Linked DNA regions of Arabidopsis thaliana. The protein of the gene in region 4 interacts with the protein of the main gene of each other region in a pairwise test. Each region holds a gene or a part of one and is shown on either strand. Other genes may lie near its edges.

The links.
Region 1: the proteins of BZO2H3 (region 4) and bZIP5 interact in a two-hybrid assay, tested with the Arabidopsis thaliana proteins (one large-scale study listed by BioGRID).
Region 2: the proteins of BZO2H3 (region 4) and MYB56 interact in a two-hybrid assay, tested with the Arabidopsis thaliana proteins (one large-scale study listed by BioGRID).
Region 3: the proteins of BZO2H3 (region 4) and bZIP4 interact in a two-hybrid assay, tested with the Arabidopsis thaliana proteins (one large-scale study listed by BioGRID).

What each region holds. Positions count from the first base shown.
Region 1 is NC_003074.8:18,453,951-18,458,017, forward strand, and holds bZIP5 (basic leucine-zipper 5), read right to left. Parts: upstream 2,176-4,067; 5' UTR 2,090-2,175; coding exon 1,619-2,089; 3' UTR 1,281-1,618; downstream 1-1,280.
Region 2 is NC_003076.8:5,874,956-5,880,444, reverse strand, and holds MYB56 (myb domain protein 56), read right to left. Parts: upstream 3,333-5,489; 5' UTR 3,199-3,332; coding exon 2,817-3,198; intron 2,534-2,816; coding exon 2,108-2,533; intron 1,538-2,107; coding exon 1,374-1,537; 3' UTR 1,114-1,373; downstream 1-1,113. UniProt on the Arabidopsis thaliana protein: Acts as a cell-specific local repressor of quiescent center (QC) self-renewal by cell divisions in the primary root. Counteracts brassinosteroid (BR)-mediated cell division in the QC cells.
Region 3 is NC_003070.9:21,865,777-21,869,681, reverse strand, and holds bZIP4 (basic leucine-zipper 4), read right to left. Parts: upstream 1,493-3,905; 5' UTR 1,421-1,492; coding exon 974-1,420; downstream 1-973. Other genes in the region: CW7, read right to left, coding at 3,742-3,905. UniProt on the Arabidopsis thaliana protein: Probable transcription factor involved in somatic embryogenesis. Acts as a positive regulator of BHLH109.
Region 4 is NC_003076.8:10,795,619-10,800,726, forward strand, and holds BZO2H3 (bZIP transcription factor family protein), read right to left. Parts: upstream 2,688-5,108; 5' UTR 2,530-2,687; coding exon 2,263-2,529; intron 2,024-2,262; coding exon 1,933-2,023; intron 1,830-1,932; coding exon 1,718-1,829; intron 1,654-1,717; coding exon 1,578-1,653; coding exon of another isoform or gene 1,496-1,577; coding exon 1,370-1,495; coding exon of another isoform or gene 1,303-1,369; coding exon 1,030-1,302; 3' UTR 839-1,029; downstream 1-838. UniProt on the Arabidopsis thaliana protein: Transcription factor involved in controlling responses to starvation. BZIP2-BZIP63-KIN10 complex binds to the ETFQO promoter to up-regulate its transcription.

The DNA.
Region 1 (4,067 bases), on a different chromosome or scaffold from region 4:
GTCTACTGTCGAGCCGATTCATGGTCAAATCGTGGACGACAGATATTTGAGAACAAAAAGTAGAAAAATCAACAATAATGGGTATGAATACGTGTCATGATTTACACCGTAATCTTTATTTATCTAAATCAAATAATGGCCGCATCTTTATTCTTATAATCCTCACTAATAATTTCCCCCTTCACATGCATTAACACAAATAATAAATTAAGACAATATAATAGTTTTTTCACTTTAGACTTATAATATGTTTAATTTGATAACAATGGTATTGTTATTATCATGTCTCCATATCTCGTGAAAGGTTAAGAGGGCCTAAAACTTCCGCTCCTGAACATATATGTACACATATATACGTGCCCTTGTGTGTGTATTAAGAGTTTAATACTATATATCTTAGCTAATTAGGATTTAATTAAGTGTAGTTAGTACATGATTAATGCACCTATTTGGTCATCAAACCATCATTATCATCAACCTAACTTTGTCCCTGCCTATATATAGCTAAGTTCGTGATTCGTACCATGTATATAAAACTTAACATCTAGTGGAAATAAATTCATGTTATCTTACAATTACTAAGCCTCTTTATTTTCCTTTAAGTGCTTACCTTAGACCAAAAAATACATAAATTATCATGTTCAAAAACTATATATACTTCGAATCGAAATATATCCATTAGCCCATTAATTAGGATACAAAAGCTTAATTATAATTAAAAGCATTGAACCTATTAAGAAAGACCGAAACAAAGATAATGTTTTCAGGGTGATTAAGACTGCCGAGAAATTAGTCGACCTCTTTACGAATAATTGAATTTGACCTCCTTATTCAAAATAGTATTTAATCAGGCCATATTCTCATATTCTATATTTTAGACCACGAATTTATATATTAGGATACCAAGACCCATCTATTTTGTCGTTGCACGCGTCATTTAATCATTTTTCAGGGGAATAATTTACATTTGATCACTAGAAAGTTGTAGGATAGGAATCTTACAAAAATTAAATCACTGTTTCGTGTGTGACGTTTTAGAATTTATGCTTGGAATATAGCTAATTATGCTGATAACATTCTTCTTTTTTTCGTTTAACTTGTAATATATTCCTCTCAACTTATGCTGATAAAATTCTCTATCGTAAGTTACGACTATAGAAATGATCACCCTCGATCATCTAAATTCTACGAGCTAGAGACCTTTATTGTTAGAACTTAATTATGATATCGTAGTCATCTATTTCGTTTGTGCTTATTTCTTGAATATATAATGATATAAAGGTATATTCAACAAAGCTAAACGAAAAGAATAGTGAAAAGAAACAAGTAGATAAAGGTTATCGACAAATTCTGCCAGTAACCCATTTCTTCGTTAACAATTTTAAACACGTCAATATAATTAATTAATTATTTATTTATTAATATATAAAAAACGAAATCTAATTTGATAACGTATATCCATGCATTTTTCAATAATTGTTTTTACAAATTGTTCCCATTTTACCGTCGAAACAATTTCAGAAACCTCAACTTATGATAACATGATCGACGGATCTTGCTGGACCGTAACAACAGTACTGTTATTACAAGGCCAAGTGGCACAGTTTGATGAGCTTCGTTAGGTTTGACGAAACATCAAAACTTGTCTGATGTTCAACAACTTATCATGCAGTATACGGTGCTCCATAAGTAGACGATCATTTTCCATCTTCGTTCGTTGACAATGGTATAAAACGTACCGAAGCTGGTTCTTCAATTCTTGGTTCTGAATTTTGAGTTGGTTTAGCTGGATACTCATCTCCTCCAAGTGCTTTTGTTTCTTCTCTCTTGACCGCTTAGCCGATTCCCGGTTCGATAATTTCCGTTTCTTTTTCCGCTCGTCGGTATTGTCGGTCGGAGACATGTCTGAACCGATCTGGTTTACTGAACCATAGTCATGGGTCGAAACCGGTTTTGGATCGATTAATGAATCGAAGACCGAGAAGAGGTGTGAAATGTCCCATGGAGTGAAACTGGTTTCAAAAGCTGGGAGGACAGAGGTTAATAGACCCGGTTCGGTTGAGAAAACCGGGGAAATAGTAGACATCATGGTGCTTAACCGGAAAATAAAAGAGAGGACAATTTAAAATGATCTCAAAATGTAGAGATGCGAGAGAGATTAGAAGGGGAAAAGGGAAGAATTGCATTGTTGGAGGTCCATATTTATGGACGAGAGAATACACACATGAGGCTATTTTGGTCAGACATTAGTAGAATATTGATGGGGGTTTTTCCTAATAACTTTTTAGATTTACTTTTCTTTTTCTTTTTATCTTTTTTTCAAATTTTCTTTTTCTAAGAATGAAAAGAGAAAGACCAAAAGATGAGGAAATGAGTCGCATCAGGAGAGGAAATTGTTGGACACGTGTCGGTGTAGGATTAGATGTAACTCAGAAGTTTAAGTTTAATATTTCAAGTATGGAGAGCCAATCCTCGTTTCCTCGTAAGAACACTTTTCAGTTTTTACGTTTTAACTTAAAGAACATTGGATAGTACGAAGACTCAAATTTAATATTGGTCTTTAGATCTTCTATGAACGTATGATTGTTGAACGTGATCTTCGATGTTTAAAGGAAATCATTTTTGTTAGTGTGTTTTTACTGTTTAGCTAGACTTTCAAATAGGAAGTAGAGACTTAGCTTGTGTATTCAACATTTTCTTTCTTCTTTGCTAAAAGTTGATAGTTTCGATCGTAATAATCCAATTAGATAATTTTATGTAATATTATTGTATGTTTTGGGATTTTGTTTTTTGATCGTGTTCTTTATTTTTGCAACATGTGCAAGTCTAAACCTCGTTACAAAAGTTGAAGAAGGAATCTTAGTTTTTTTTGGTTAAGATTCCTTTCTTTTATGGTATATGTAACTGCAAATATAGTTAGTGAAATCTACGTTCTGAGACAGAAGATAAAGTTATGGACCAAAAAGATGAAAAAGCATCCTATAGCATTAAAAAGAAGAAGAGATATACTTAGTTTGCTGTTATATATAGTGATATGCATGCATACCACTGTATTTTAATTTTAATTTTATTTTTATTGGTCGGCATACTTTTGTATTTGAAATTAATCTGATGGATTACTATATTCTAGCTAGGTATAAGATATAAAATTGTTACAAAACCGGCAAAAGTAAAGGAACTTGGATCTATCTAATTAGGAAAGTTACACCTTGAATTTATATTGGGATATGATTTAATCGATGTTATTACGTCTTGTTTTCAAATACAGTCTTTCGAAAAGTTGTCGTATGTATTTAGAAAATTGACAGTCCTAAGATTTTCTTTATTTCCATAGAGATATTGTTGTCTTATCATCCGAATTCAAATTCGGTTGAGTGTCTATATATTAATAATAAAAGAAAAATCGTAAGTGCTACTGAGGAACTAATTTGATTCATAATTACTATTTGCTAATTATTAGTTATACCAAACCAAAAAGACTAGAGGGAGGGGAGGGAATATTCGCATGGCAGTTTTCTTAACAGCAAAGCTGTTTTAAAGAAGCCGTTCCTAAGGAATACAACAAAACAAGAAAAAGCATGGCTTAATAATCAAATTCTTTCAGCTTTATAATGTTTTCAAGTTTGTTGGAGATCATGTTCATGTGCACGACCACTTTAACTTTGTTCAACAAATAAAAACTAATTTAAAGTTATTTGTAACCAATAGTAATAACAACTTTCCTTAAAAAAACTGACCAATAGTCACAACATACTCATACGAAAACGAAAAAAACAATAATAATTTTTTCTGAAATAAAAAAATGTAGGTATTAGTTTCGTGTTTTTAACGAATTAGTCAGTAAAAACTATAGTTGTAACCTGTAGAAATGATGTCTTCTCTATTTTACTACTACAATAATACATCTAAACAAAAAAACACAAATAGACCAAAATTTGTAAATTTTGTTGTAATTTATATCAAAAATCAAAAAGAAAACAAATTTACTATATATTTTGCTGAAAGAAAAAGATAAGTTGTAAATTTACTATATGTTTGTAGTATATTTACTACAGTAAATCCTGTAT
Region 2 (5,489 bases), 4.9 Mb from region 4:
CAGATATTTTGCTTTCTTGTCGATTCTTGCTCGCCTGAACACAAACCTTATCTATCAAAACAAGCCAAATCTTAATATTTTTTTTTTCCACAGCCAAATCTTAATTAGAGATCTAGTTTGTGGAAAAAAGATGTCCCTCGGACTTGATATATTTAAAGATAATCCAAAAAATTAAACTGGTATGTACAAAAATCTTGATTTTTCGATGTAAATAGATCATCTTAGTACATAGCTGATCTAATCTATTTATCCAATGGATGAAAGGTATTAAGGTACTTTATACCATTCTCGATCGAGGATTATTATTTCTGTTTATCCTAGAGGATAACATTTAACATATCTTATCAAGTGAACATTTTTAATTTCTTAACTAACCAAGTGAACAATTAAACGAACAAAAAGAACTAAATGAATGACGGAATGAGAGAGCCAAAAGTAAAGTGTGTAAGTAATATGATTATGATTTTTTTTTTAAACAGAAAAATCAAATATAATGATTTAAATGCGAATCATAATCATATCACTAACAAAGTGCGTATATTTCTATATATGAATAGCAATTTGTAAAGTACACTAGTACAAATACAGTACTCGACACAGATCGCTAGTTACCATTTTTTCTTCTTGGGGATGTCAATTTTGTGAACTTGATATAATAATGAAAGAAGGGTAGGGTTTTTTTTTTTTTTTTTTTTGAACAGAGAAAGAAGGGTAGGGTTAAGTTCAAAATTACGACAAGAAACGAGTAAGCCCACTTCTATGTGAGCTTTTTGGACCCTTTGTAAATGAAAGGTACGTCTATATATGGGTTTCTTTTGTAGTCCTAGGCCCAACTTAACAATGTAGCTGGTATCCGATAATAGGGATCCGAGCCGAGCCGAGTAATTGAGATTTTAAATTTAAACAAGAACTCATTTCCCACGTTGATTATTTACTTAGAAATTCCTGAATTATTTATATATGTGACATTCCAAAAATAGCAGATAACATCCTTCATGTAATGCACTATAAAATGCAATAGGTTTATGATCAAAGCTTGTAATTTACCAACAAAAATAACTCGCTGGTTTTAGTTACTGCTATTGTTTCATAATCTATGTTAAATTTGCGTGTGTGAGTAAGGAAAATTGCAATATTTTATGAACACTTATTCTAATTCTACAGAAAAGAGGTTGATTATATATTCAACTTTTTATTTTACTTCTAGGTTTTGTTTTTGTTTTCAGTTTTCCCTCATACCGCTTACTTCTTCCAAAACCCAAATTAAGATGTTAAACAAACATGCCTAATTAACCAGGAAAAATAGAAGAAACTAAAGCCATTTCTTATCTCACAATTCCTCAGCATTGAACCCTAGCTCTGCAACTAATTAATCAGGAAGCTCCAACTCCAAGAAAATCAAAGTAGTAATAGCCACTCCTCATCTTCATCTCCACCTTTCTTTCACTGACTGAGATTGTGTGGTGATTTTGATGGTCCATCTTTTTACCATATATGCCATTTACTTCTGCTCTCTGCACACACTGACCATCTTTGCCTGCAAAATTAGAAAAATAAGTTCTCAGCACCCACGTGAAATTTTGTTATATTGAAATAGTAACGTGACAATAGTACTTCACCTCCTTATATTATTATGCCTATAGGTACTCTTACGATGTAAAAACAGTTTCTTTCTTTTCTAGTCATTCAAATTTATAATTATTGCCATGTATATGAAAAAGTGTAGGAAGTGGTCACTCGTCGTCGGTTATACAACATGTCGGCCTAAATTATCATTTTATATGCTTTGAACATTCAAAAATTAACAAGACTGGAATCTAATAAGCTAAATTTAGACCACAAATGATATTTGGAAGTACCGGTTAAAGTATAAACCGATCATGATCAACGATACACCCAATAAAGATTGCAATACGATCTCGACCAACCGACCGAGATCATTATAGTTAGATTCACGAAAACACTTCTCAAGAAAGCCGAAAACGAAAAAAAACATTCCAAGTTTCTATACTTTTAATGTCTTGGGTCATGAAAATAATATATTTTCAATAGAGAAAAAAAAAAAACATAGTAAACATAATATTTAAGCAAATAAATAAAATGTTACCTGATGCAAGGGTACTATCGTAATTAAAGAAGCGAGGCTGGTAAGCTGAAGAAGGCGGAGTGAGAGAGAGCTCCGTCGTACAAGTAGAGACAGCTGACACATCGTCGTCGTCATCTTCTTCATTGATGAACTTACCTTGATTGTAGCGGCAAGAGGACGAAACCGTCATTTCAGCGTCTCTTGACAACGTCGGAGGAGGCTGTTGACGTTGTCTTTGGCTTTCTCTAGTCCGTCGAGCCATGATGACGTGCCAATGGTTCTTGACAGCGTTATCGGTACGACCTGGAAAGAGACGAGAGATCAAAGCCCACTTGTTGCCATAGGCTCGATGAGCTGCTAACAGCCTAAACTCTTCTTCCTCCGTGAAGGCTCTCTTGTTAATCCTTGGGTCTAGTTGGTTAAACCATCTCAATCTACAACTCTTGCCTGTAGTCAAAGAAGTGTCCCTCACATTATAAAAATTAGTTACTATCAAGCATTATGTCATTATGCCTTATACAACTTAGTCTAACTTGTAAAAACTATTTTTAAAAAAATCCAAACACAATTACGAAAATGCCTAATAACTTTGGAAACTCAACTCACCAAAGTTTTTAAATATATTTACTTATTTTTCTTCTACATAAAAATAGTTAAATTTGCGGAATTTGGAGTAACAAAAGTGAAGGAAATAATTAAGTAATAAGAATTTTAAGTAAAATAAATGTACCTGATCTACCAAGAAGGTGGTTAGAAATCAAGTTCCAGTTTTGGGGACCAAACTGGGCAACAAGCTCCTTGAGTTTAGCATCTTCTGTTGGTCTCCAGTGTCCTCGTGAGCATACTTTTGTGTTAATTCCACTTTTGCCCCTCATTCTTAAACTCTTTTCGTTTTCACCTCTCTCGTTCCCATGTTCATCTTCCGACTCCAAGACTGAGGCTGATTTGTTGTGAGGATGGTTTCTAGAGATAGAGGGGTTGTTGAGTGAAGTTTTACAAGCAGCAGTGTGTGAGTTTGGTAGAGATCTGAAGTTGTTTGCTTCTTTGTATCTTATTGACCCATTTGTAGTTTCCTTACCTCTTAGATCTTTCTCAAGGAGATTTGGATTCATGTTTCTGGGTTTAGGGATTAAGGGAAGAGAAACTAAAAATAGAAGAGAGATAGAGGGAGAGAGCACTTGAATGGCTTTTCACTGTTTATATGGTGGAAGAGGAAAGAGAGATTCTCTAAAAAAAATTATTGAAATTTATATTTTTATTTACATTTATTTGCAAGCTAGTTAATATATATAGAAGAATATTTTAGAAAATGATGATGAGTGCAGAGTGGTTATTTAATGTACATGAAAAACAAAATTGATAGCTGTTTATTCACACACCAAAAGAAATTGAAGGGAAAGTTTTGTAAAAGCATATTCAAATGAATTACAAGTGTTAATTACCAAATTGTGGCCTAATAATCCCATGCTAATGGTTTTATACAATTACGTGCGGTTTCATTTTATTTATCATTTTTTTTTTTTTTTCAGCAACCACATTTTAACTATATTTATAGTCGATGCCTCGATGGTGGTCGTACAAAATCGAAATTCGATCATTAAAATTCCAAGATAGATCTATAACAATTTTTCATCACTATCTTCATAAGAGCTGCTTGTTATTGTACTAATATTGTGTTAATTAAATAGTTAAAATGAAACCGCACGAAAACATTAAATATTCAAGGTTCACGTTTTCCTTCACGTACGTTGCGATTTAGTTTTTACTCTTACACGAAAAATTTCGAATAATGAGATACTTTCAGTACAAAGCTCTCTCTCTCTACACGTGCAAAAGTAAGGGATTTGGAAAAGTCGGTGGGTACGTGTAGTGTAGATGCATGCAAAACGAGACCCGCTCGTGCGTGTGGGAGGGTTCGATGACCATAGGCCCCACAGTCTCAACAGTCTCGGAAACTCCAAAAAACATTTTTGAACCGCTCGTGTGGCTATAGTATATACTATGCACACATACAGATATTGCACGTACGTTAAGTGTGTGTGTGTGAGTTAATTATGGGAAAAAACAACAGAATCAATTTTTGTCTGTTTCGGACACAAAGCAAGAAAAGATCTTAAAGGGAGAGAAATAAATTGCTTTTATGAGCTTTCTGTTCTCTCCATAACGTATAAGTGTGTATATATATATTCGCATCTTTCAAAGAACTCGTTTTGTGTAGTTAAATTATAAAGTAATATGATGATTAGCTCAACAACTAGTTCAAGTACTTCAATATCTTTTGAACGATGGGTTCGACGTCGTTTGGGGTGTATACATTTTTACTTATATACTATATTCAGTGAAATTCAAGCATTGTTTTTGTTTATTACTTAAATAGTTAATTGAACTCAAACAATGTTGTGCGTACATTTAATGGAAAACAGACGTGGCAAACAGAAAACATATGCACATCCTATATTTTTTGCTACTAGTTTAAATTTAAATTTTGCTGTAATTTTTGTTTCAGGATGAAATATATAATCTTTGTTGAAGTTTTTTAAAAAAAACTATCATCAAATTGGTTATTTTAAAGTAAGTTTTAGGTACGAAGGGAACATAGTTTTTTTAATTTTTAGGAAAACTAAAAGTACAAAAAAGAGAAGAAAATGTGAATGGTGACAAACAAAAGTTCAATTCATTTCTTATAAACCAAAAATAATAATTGAACAACCAACTCTATTGAAGACCATTATTATTCAATGATATGGACTATTTATGCTCCCATTGAACCTATAAGTTGTAGACTTTAGTTTTTTGTATCTTTTTGATATAAGAATTGAGTGGTCATTCGTTTGAATGTAATAATTATCTTTCATGCGTAACAACTTACTATAGTCTTGATATGACTAAACAAAGCTACATATTTTAGTAATTGTACTAAACTCGATCGAGTATGCAACCACATAATTTTGATGGATTAAAATACTAGAGATTAAAGAGAGAAATCATGTAACTGAACTCGAACTAGAATTAAATTCAACAATAATAAATGAAGAATAAAACAAATATAACACGAATAGACGTTAGAAACCAAAGAAACGACAGAAAAGTACCTAAAGTTTTTTATTTATTGTGTCTTGTTTTTATGTGAGTTTCGGTTATGGGAACGGTTTCGTTAATTTTGAAATCTTCTGTTGACGACAAAAAAAAAGTCTTGTACCGACGTGGAATGACGACATCATTGGCTGTTACACACGAGCGGATCGTGTTCTTACCTAACACGTGTACCGTCCTCACGAATTTCAGTTTCCGGTTCATAGAAAAGTTCCCCGAACCGTTATGGACCAATTCCACTTTTCTTTTGTTTTTTTATTAAGATACTTTGAATGATTATTATTTAATAACATTTTTGCAAATCATATTC
Region 3 (3,905 bases), on a different chromosome or scaffold from region 4:
ACATGGATTTTGTGAACTTAATTATAAAAATTAACATGAGATTTTAGCTAATGCCGATTGTGTTTCATACTATATTTAGCTGTTTAGTTCAAATATCATTTAACAATTTCACCCTTTAAAATATCCGTTTCGTTCCATGCACCATGCGCATGCATCTCTTAATGTATATGAATATGATTATATATATATATATATATATATATATATCTATACACTTAATTAGCCACACAAAGAAATTAAACCCCACGTTTTCCTTTGTGTGATTTGGTCCAAGATTTTTCTTCAAACCCAACATATAGTGCACACTATCAAAAGGTTGTTGTGATTTTGGGATGGGACATTTTCTTCATTAAAAAGGTAATAAATAATCATACTGTTAAACTCAATCAATTATTAATTTTAGAAGATAATTACGTCTTAAAATTCTACATTATCTGTGTATATATATAGGCTTACTTAAAGACGATACTGTTAAAGGTCTTAAAAATTCAAAAGTTAATTGTACAACAACATTTTCATGGAGCTAGCAAGTTTAGAGTTTCGTCCTAATAGTTTATGTTTATAGGTAAAAACAAAAGTGTTAACTTAGGGAAATTTCTAGTGTTATACTGTTATGTTTGGCTACTTCGTTACGTTCACCAAACTTTTAGTATTCTGCTTAGGCTTATTGAACTTGATGTTTGTCTTTCGGCTTTTGGAGGAAAAATAAAATTTTGAAAATTTTGATTCATTTTGACTGTGAACCGGTCTTGTTTCGGCACGTCTTGTTTAGGTCTTGACAACATATTTATGATTGTGTTTATGTGGAGGGAATCAAGTTTCACAAATATTATCCATACAGTTTACATATATACACATATGCATAACTTTGAAGTTTGAACCAAAATGTGAAATTCATAGTATAAAACGTTTGACCTTTACAAAAATGCTCAAAGTTACTTGGCATCGTTTTTCTGTTTATTTTGTTTCAAACTTAAATCTCGAGCGTTGTGATGTAATTTACACTCGTTGAGATTGGCGATTGCATGGCCACTAAAAAACGGTACAACTCTAAAAGCCTTATCTCAAGGCAAACCGATTCGGTTTTCAACCGGTTATTCTCCCTAGATATAAAATTACCACAACTAACAACATTAGCTAACCGGTTTTTCAGCTCCTGATTTCTTATGTTTAACCGGTTCACCTCTTCAGTTAACTCTTCAAAACGTTTCTTCTTTTTCATCCTCGATCTCTTGGCCGATTCCCGGTTTGATATCGTCCGTCTTCTCTTCTTATCATCCACCGGTACTACCTCGTTTATACCGCTTGGATTGTCCGACTCGTCTGATTGAAGAAACGCCAATATATCAATGATTTCATCACCGGTTATCGTAGCATCATTGAAGCAGTTATGAACCGTCTCCATATTAGTATAAAACATTGATGTAAGTGGCAAAAGATATTGGTATAATTTGTGTTAAAGCTAGAGAATGAAAGCTAGAGAGGAAGGGGAGGATTCAAAATGAACCAAGAGTGGCTATTTATAGAGAGGAATGAGGAATAACATGTGGGACTCACATTGGGGTTATATTGTCCACTAAAAAAGTGCTAAGTATTAATGTCATAATCAGAGTCAATCTAAGAGATTAATTGGAATGTTTGTCGATTAGTGCTCTAGATAACATTATTACTGTATTATTTTAACTTTTGTTTTTTTATCCTTTTATACCTTTTGTTTGGATACTGCTTTTTAACTTTTATCACTTTCGTAGCACTACTTTTTAACTACAGAGATAGTGTATTAATTTCACATTGTCATTGTAAGATTATTGTTTTTTTTGTTTTTTTTTGTTTTTTTGATTAATATAAAGGACTGGGTGTTTAAGGTTGTCACCATTTAAACTATATAATTGGTAAAATACTAGAGGGTCAATAATATCTGAAAAACTTGTAAAATATAACTATATTGTAAAAAAAATAAAATGAATAGGATTTATAGCCTATTGGTTTCTGTTAGTATTGTCGTTGTGTTACTATCAATCTATCATGACCGATCCTTCCTTGGCACAAGCACATAAAATTTTGATTTGGGGCCTCAAAATATATATTAGTTATTAGACCAATTTTGTGTAAGATTTCTTGGTATAGATACTCAGTAGGTTCAGAGTTCAAACCAATAAAATGCATCATTTTCATATACTTTTTTTTCAATGTGATAAAAAGAGGGCACGCACTTTATCCTTCTACTGCTAGAAACGATTCCAGATTCAAGCTCGCATATTAAGTACATGTAATTGACAAAAAAAATATCAGATAAAACTCTATACATAAAAGATTTTTTTTAAGTTTCTACACAACTTATTAAGTTAAGACTTAGGGGAGAAAATGGTGTGTAGGTCTTGACACAAGAGGAAGAAGATGAGAGCTTAGCTTAATGGCGAAGAATCTAACAAAAAGCATATTACGTCTTAGTTTATTTATTATGTGTTTGGATTTTCTTATCTTTTTAGTAAGATAAAGTAAACAATACAAGTGAAACTACAGCTGCATTCTCTTTATAGTATCATTATAATTTTGAATCATTTTTTTTTTAATTAAGTAGGGTAAATATATTCGTACGTATTTTCGTAAATCTTTACATGTTTTGAAAGAAAATTTATCCGTTAAAATTTATAATACTGTGACATATTGAAATATTTCTCCATTGGGGTATAAAACCAATCTTGCCTATTTTACTTTATTTTTTTGTTAAATTAAAAATTTAGATAATGGGTCATTTTTTTTTTGCCTACAATTATTTCCAGGGCAAAAGATGTTAAAGAACATACTATTCTTATATTTTGACCTTTGTAATCACGTTTCAAGAAAATCCAAAGTCCACTGTTTGTGACTTTTTGTGGCTTTTTGTAAGTGGACTAAAACATGCATTCACATTTTCACAACTTCTATAACCGACTCTCTATATATTAACATAATTCCTTTTTGTTATTAAAATAGAAGCATTAGTTTAACCTCAGATACAGAGTTTTGTCATCTAATTAGGAAATGTCTAACAACCGATCTATATTTTAACACAATTCCTTTTCTTAGAAAGCTATACACCTTAGTTTAACCTAAAACAGAGTTTTGTCATCTAATAAGAAATGTCTACCACCAAGAGTTGGATTCATGTGCTTCCTCCTTATTTGTCTACCCTAATTTCTTTTTATTCTTTAGCATTCCACATTCTCAAGTAAAGTCCAACAAAAGATGGCAAAAAGCTGTTTTATTTCACATGTTTAAATACCATATCTTCTATACTTTCTATGCAAGACATCTGTATCTCATAGGGATCGACCTAAAAACCGAACCAAACTGAATCAAAGATTTATCGATCCGAACCGAACTTAAGTTTTATATAAATAACCGGACCTTGATTAACTAACCGAAATTCATTCTGTTTGTCAAAGTATAGGCTGAGCGAGTCCACATTATACTAAACAAGAAGAGTAGCCAAAACATATAGACTTGATGATTGCAAATTCACAACTTTACTTTCATTTATTCCTTGAGGTAATAACAGTGGTTGTGGTAAACCACATAGTCGAGTAACATCACAAAAGGAATATTCAATCAAAGTACAAAAAAAAAAAACATTTAGACAAAACACACAAACTTCTGTTTCCTACGCTTCATTCCAGAGTGTGCTACTCCATGTTGACTGGTGGAGTTGCCTAAATAAAGACGATTAGTGGAATCGATCAGCAATATCGAAAAGATCTATTAGTGTCTATTGTTGACGACCGGTGTGGCTAAAGAGAAATCATTTGTTACCTTGAATAAAAGATCATGAGCAATAGTGTCCCATGGTAATGAAATGGACATTAAGCAGCATTTAAGAGGGAACATCTCGTCTTCATCATAAGAGGCAGTAGCAGCTGCTATTG
Region 4 (5,108 bases):
CTCGCGGATTCCAGAGTTTAATAGATTTGAAGATTCAAGGACATCGGTTTTCTACCTTTTCAAAAACGCTGCAAATGGATCTGGTGAAATACGGAGTAAGAAGCTGAAATCTGTTGGAATCAAGTGCTGAAAATGGTGATTTTCCTCACTGAAATTCTTTTGAATCTGACCGGATTTTTCCATTTTTGGTGGCAAGTCGGTTGTTTTCCACCACTCCTTTGTGCAATAACACGTGGGACGTGGCTAACACGTGTCTCATTTTAAACCTAGTCTTAATTTGATGTATTATTGTATGGGTTTAGTTTGGACTTATATCATGGGGTTTTGGATCCACAAATTTCACCTATACTTCTCTTATAATTTGCCCTTTTGGGTTAGTAATCAAAGAAATTGTCGACAAAAAAAAATACGTCAAAAGTACTCCTAAATTTTATATAATATACAAAATTTCTAAATATTTCATGAATATTAATTCTACAAAAGAGCATATTAATTCTTATTAGAGATGTTTTATCCGATCTGAACCAAATCAAAATAATCGATACGAAAAAACGAACATAATTGAATATCTTAAATCATAATTTAAAGGTTACTTTGAAAAAAAATATAAATTAATAAGGTTTAATTATAGTTATTTTATTTATATATATATTTATAATCTAATTCGGATTTAAACAAAAATTATTGATAGAAACCCGATTCTAAGAGCCGAAATTTGGGATTAAACTCGTAATTTCTAGTTTCAATAACCAAAATTATACGTTTGCATCGTTGCCTCATCACCATTTCAATAGTTTCACTAGGTGAAATTGATAAAACTTGTAATTCTTAACAGAAATTAGAAAAACTTTGTAAATTTAACAAAAGACATGTACAATGAAAATTAGAAGTTCAACACAAACAATCAACGAAGAAGACAAAAAAAAATTTAAATAATCTGAAAAAACAATTCTTTACAAAAACATACAACATTTTGTCTTAACATATGTCTTAAGATTAATGTTACAAATCAAGATTCTTCTTTAACAGCTACTGATCCCCAACGCTTCGAATACGTTTCTGCAGATGTTCCAAGCTCTCAACTCTACGCATCGAAGCTGTTCTGTTCATCTTGCACCCTATCAAGGCCTTGCCTTTGTTCCCCGAGCTAATGATCTCTGGTGTAGTCACTTGGCTGCTTGTAGTGTCTGGAGAATTTGATGTCTCTGAAGGAAGAGAGACAGTTGAAACAATCTGAGGCATATTGTGGAACATTGGGTTAAAGCCAGTGAGTCTCTTCACTGTCTCTTCAGCCATTTTCACCTGCCAAAAACAAACATGCTTCAATAGCGAGTTTTGGTAGACAGAGAGATAAAAGAAAGTATTTTACCTTTGCTCGTAGTGTCTCAATATTGGCTTTTAAAACTCTGTTTTCTACAGATGCATCATTGAATGTTTGAGTTACATCAGTGAGACCCTTCATGAGTTTTGAATTCTCTACACGAAGCTGTGAAACCTACACGAAATGGAGATTGTCGCACAAGTGAGCTAAACAAAGTTAAAGGAGAAAGAATAAGAACGCTGCGAGAGTAACATACTTGTGTCTCTAGCTCACTCAAGTGTGCTTGCTTTCTTCTTCTGGACCGTCTAGCTGATTCTCTATTAGAGAGCATCCTATAACAAACAAATTCACGTTCATGTTCATGTTCAAGTCCAAGAAAGGATGTAAATTTGTTACCTTTTAACGCGTTTAACATTAGTAGGGTTCATATTAGTTTCACCATCAGCTTCTTCTTCATCACCAGAGAGCTCAGATCCACTTGTTATAGCACTGCTCATCATTGGTGTAGCTGCATACAGATTGGTCCATTAGCATTTACAAGAAATCTTGAAAACAAACACAACAACTATCAATAACATCTTAAAAGGCTTATCATAGATGTATTGTAAAACCTTTGGAAGAAGCAAGAGAGGCTTGTTCTGATTCATTGGCTCCACCATTGTCAGATCTACCAGAAGTATCCTGAGGTTTGATGAAAGTTCCCTATCAAATTTTCAATATTAACACCACAAAATCAATTAACTAATGCAAATTATAATCTCAAGGAAGATAATGGCAAATCATATACAAAAGGTCCAATAAGATCTTAACACTCAAACATAACAAAACAAGATTAGTTTCTTAGCTTCAAGTGAACTCATCAAACTAACAGATAAAAAGGTTTTGTTTTTCTTTTTCTATGAAAAAAAAAAAAACTCAAACTTGAGCAGAGTAGTGAGTACCCTTTTCATGGCGACAGCAGCACAAGCAAGATTAAGTTTACTCTTGAGAAATGCTCTGTATTCCTCTGAATCTACAGGAACATTAGGAGGAGAGGAGACGGAAACACCACACGCCGTCGTAGATTCTCCGTCGTCTGCAGCGGCGGAGGATTCTTGTATGAAACGATTGAATGCCCATTCGGAAGCACTGCGATTCAACGACGTCATTCCATTAACCGACCAGTGATGGTTACCGGAGATTTCTTCGTCGGAGAAAACTTTTTCCATCTTTTCTCTTTTGTAATTTGTTTGTTTCTTTAGTTTTATTTATTTTTTTTTGGTTTCAAATTGTCAAAACAGTTTCTTCTTATCCGATTGGGCAGTCTTGCATTTTAATAATATGTTCTTTTCAAGTTTTGTTGTTTTGTTAGATATTTAATTGTCTGATTATTACCCTAATGGCCCCGACAAGAGTCGTGTATTTCTATTTACAGCAAAAACTTTTGATTTATTCTGTTAGGTCACTGTTTTCTTGTAGTATCTTAAAAAACGACAGGTCATAATACAAAAAATTATAACGATTTTTATTAACAACAGAACTAATAATAAATAAAAGGAAAAAAGTATCTGGAAATATGGTTTTAGTTATACTAATTTTTCTACTTTTTAGAACAATTTTTAGTTTATAAGATATATAGAATGGAAAAAATAATTAAAGTGTCAAACTTTTTTTTTTCTTTCTTAAAACATGTTTTTAAAAAAGGTGAGATTCGCCTACAGTTACAACGAATAATAATATTAAGATACACAAATTAAAATAGAAAAAACTGATCAGAGTCAAAAAAGAAAATTGTATCCTAGTGGACAATGGAAAACGGAGAATCTACTGCTTAACCCACCTTATCTCAATATCTTTCTTCGATCTCACAATGGCCGACACAATGACCGAGCTACGAGAAAAAATTGTTACTATCACCAACGTCCTCTACCATAAAGGGATTTTTCGAGGTAAGGGATTTTACTCACTCTTGAGCACTCAAGATAAATTCCAAGATTAGCGGTAAAAATCAAAAATAATCGAAAATTTTAAATTTAAAAACGATTCTTTAAGAAAGAAAAAACCGTTAGAAACGATGTAATGATTGTAATTTTTCAGACCATTTTATAAAAAAAATAAATAATATTATTAAGAAAACAAAAATTATTAAGATTATCAGAAATGCAGTCTCCTTCACAAACTTCATTGCCTAATTGTTTACTCAAATGTGTAATATATATCGATCTTATATTCCACGTTTGAAAGGGGACGATTAGGGGTTCATATTTATAAACAACAAATGTTGGTGTATAATTGATAAAAACAGAAGAATATGAGGAGCTTAAAGTAATATTTAAAATATACATGTAATAATATTTGTTTATGCCTTATTGGATTTAATAATATTTTTTTCAACGCTTTTTGGGGCAAATCCAAGTCAGACTGACGTGGCAAGGGGTATTTTAGTCAATTTAAATTTTGATCTGCATCACAAGAATATATAAATAATAAATATTATAGTTGTCGTCGGTTTTGTAACGTAACTTCATTTCATGGGTCCATTTAATATTCCCATTTGCATTTTACAAAGGAAAGGAGAGATCCGAGAGGAACATAATATATAGTTTTGTAAGTGAAGTTAGATTAGAGAAATGTACTAAACTTCTGATTTTTGGATAAGAATCTATCCAAATTCAAGTTGCATATTTTGGTGGGTCCTTTATTTTTGCATATATTAGTACACTTGTGCAAAACCTTTTATCAAGAGAATATCTAGTGAGAGAGAAACATAACACTTGCAAACCAAGTGGATGTTGGTGGTTTGACTTTGAGAATATCAGTAGTTCAACTCTATTTGAAAGAATGATTTACGTTTTATCAAAGTACGTCTCTATTACACCATTAGTAGAATTTTGTAGACTTTTCTATGTTAAAGTGGTTTAGAAAAATCTCAAACTGTATAATTTCGTGTGACATTTTGTCTTATTTTAGGAAGAATTATTATGTAGGTTAGGTTATGAATCAATTTCTAAATCATTCTTATTTTGACCTGGTGTCATGTTTAAGGTTTATTAAAAATCCGATGAATGGACTATTCAACGGCTACACTCAGAGTTGGTCCTAAAACCCAAAATATTTTTTGCCTATAAATATTTAAAATATAGCAAAATGATGCATTGGAGACTTAAACCTATAACATGAGAAACAAAAAAACCCGGAAAAATCACTGTCCTACAAGAAATTTATAGTTTTGGTGCTTTCAAAATGAAATATATATTTTGAGGCTTAAAACCCTTAATTGTTCAGCTTTAGATTAGGACAGACAGTGGATACATTTACTTTGAAAAAGTTTGTCGATGGTAAAACTGGAACACCCCTGATTATCAGATTTTTTTTTTTGTTGTCTTACTTTCAAAAGAGTAGGTTTATCTGTTCAAGAAACTATTTCTACATTTTTTTGTGGATTTTTTTCGTGTCGTGTATGGGTTATTTATTCGTTGGTTTGTTTTTCTTTTTCCGTATAATGCTGAAAGATTTGGAAAATAGAACATTGCCAAAAAAAAAAGATATGCATGCAGCTAGGCCGGTGGGATCAATTAGTGGGCCTAATGAAACGTGTTGGCTCATACATTTGGGATATATGGCCCCATTTTTTAGCAACAAGGCTCAATAGCCACATGAAATATTTATATTTTGTTCATGTTTCTAACGAACAAATATTTGAATATCATTCGGACCACATTTTCTTGGACAGCAATGTTTGGATTGCTTAAATAATATTGAGTACTAATATTCATATTTTTTTGTGTGGCTGTGGTTTATAACATAA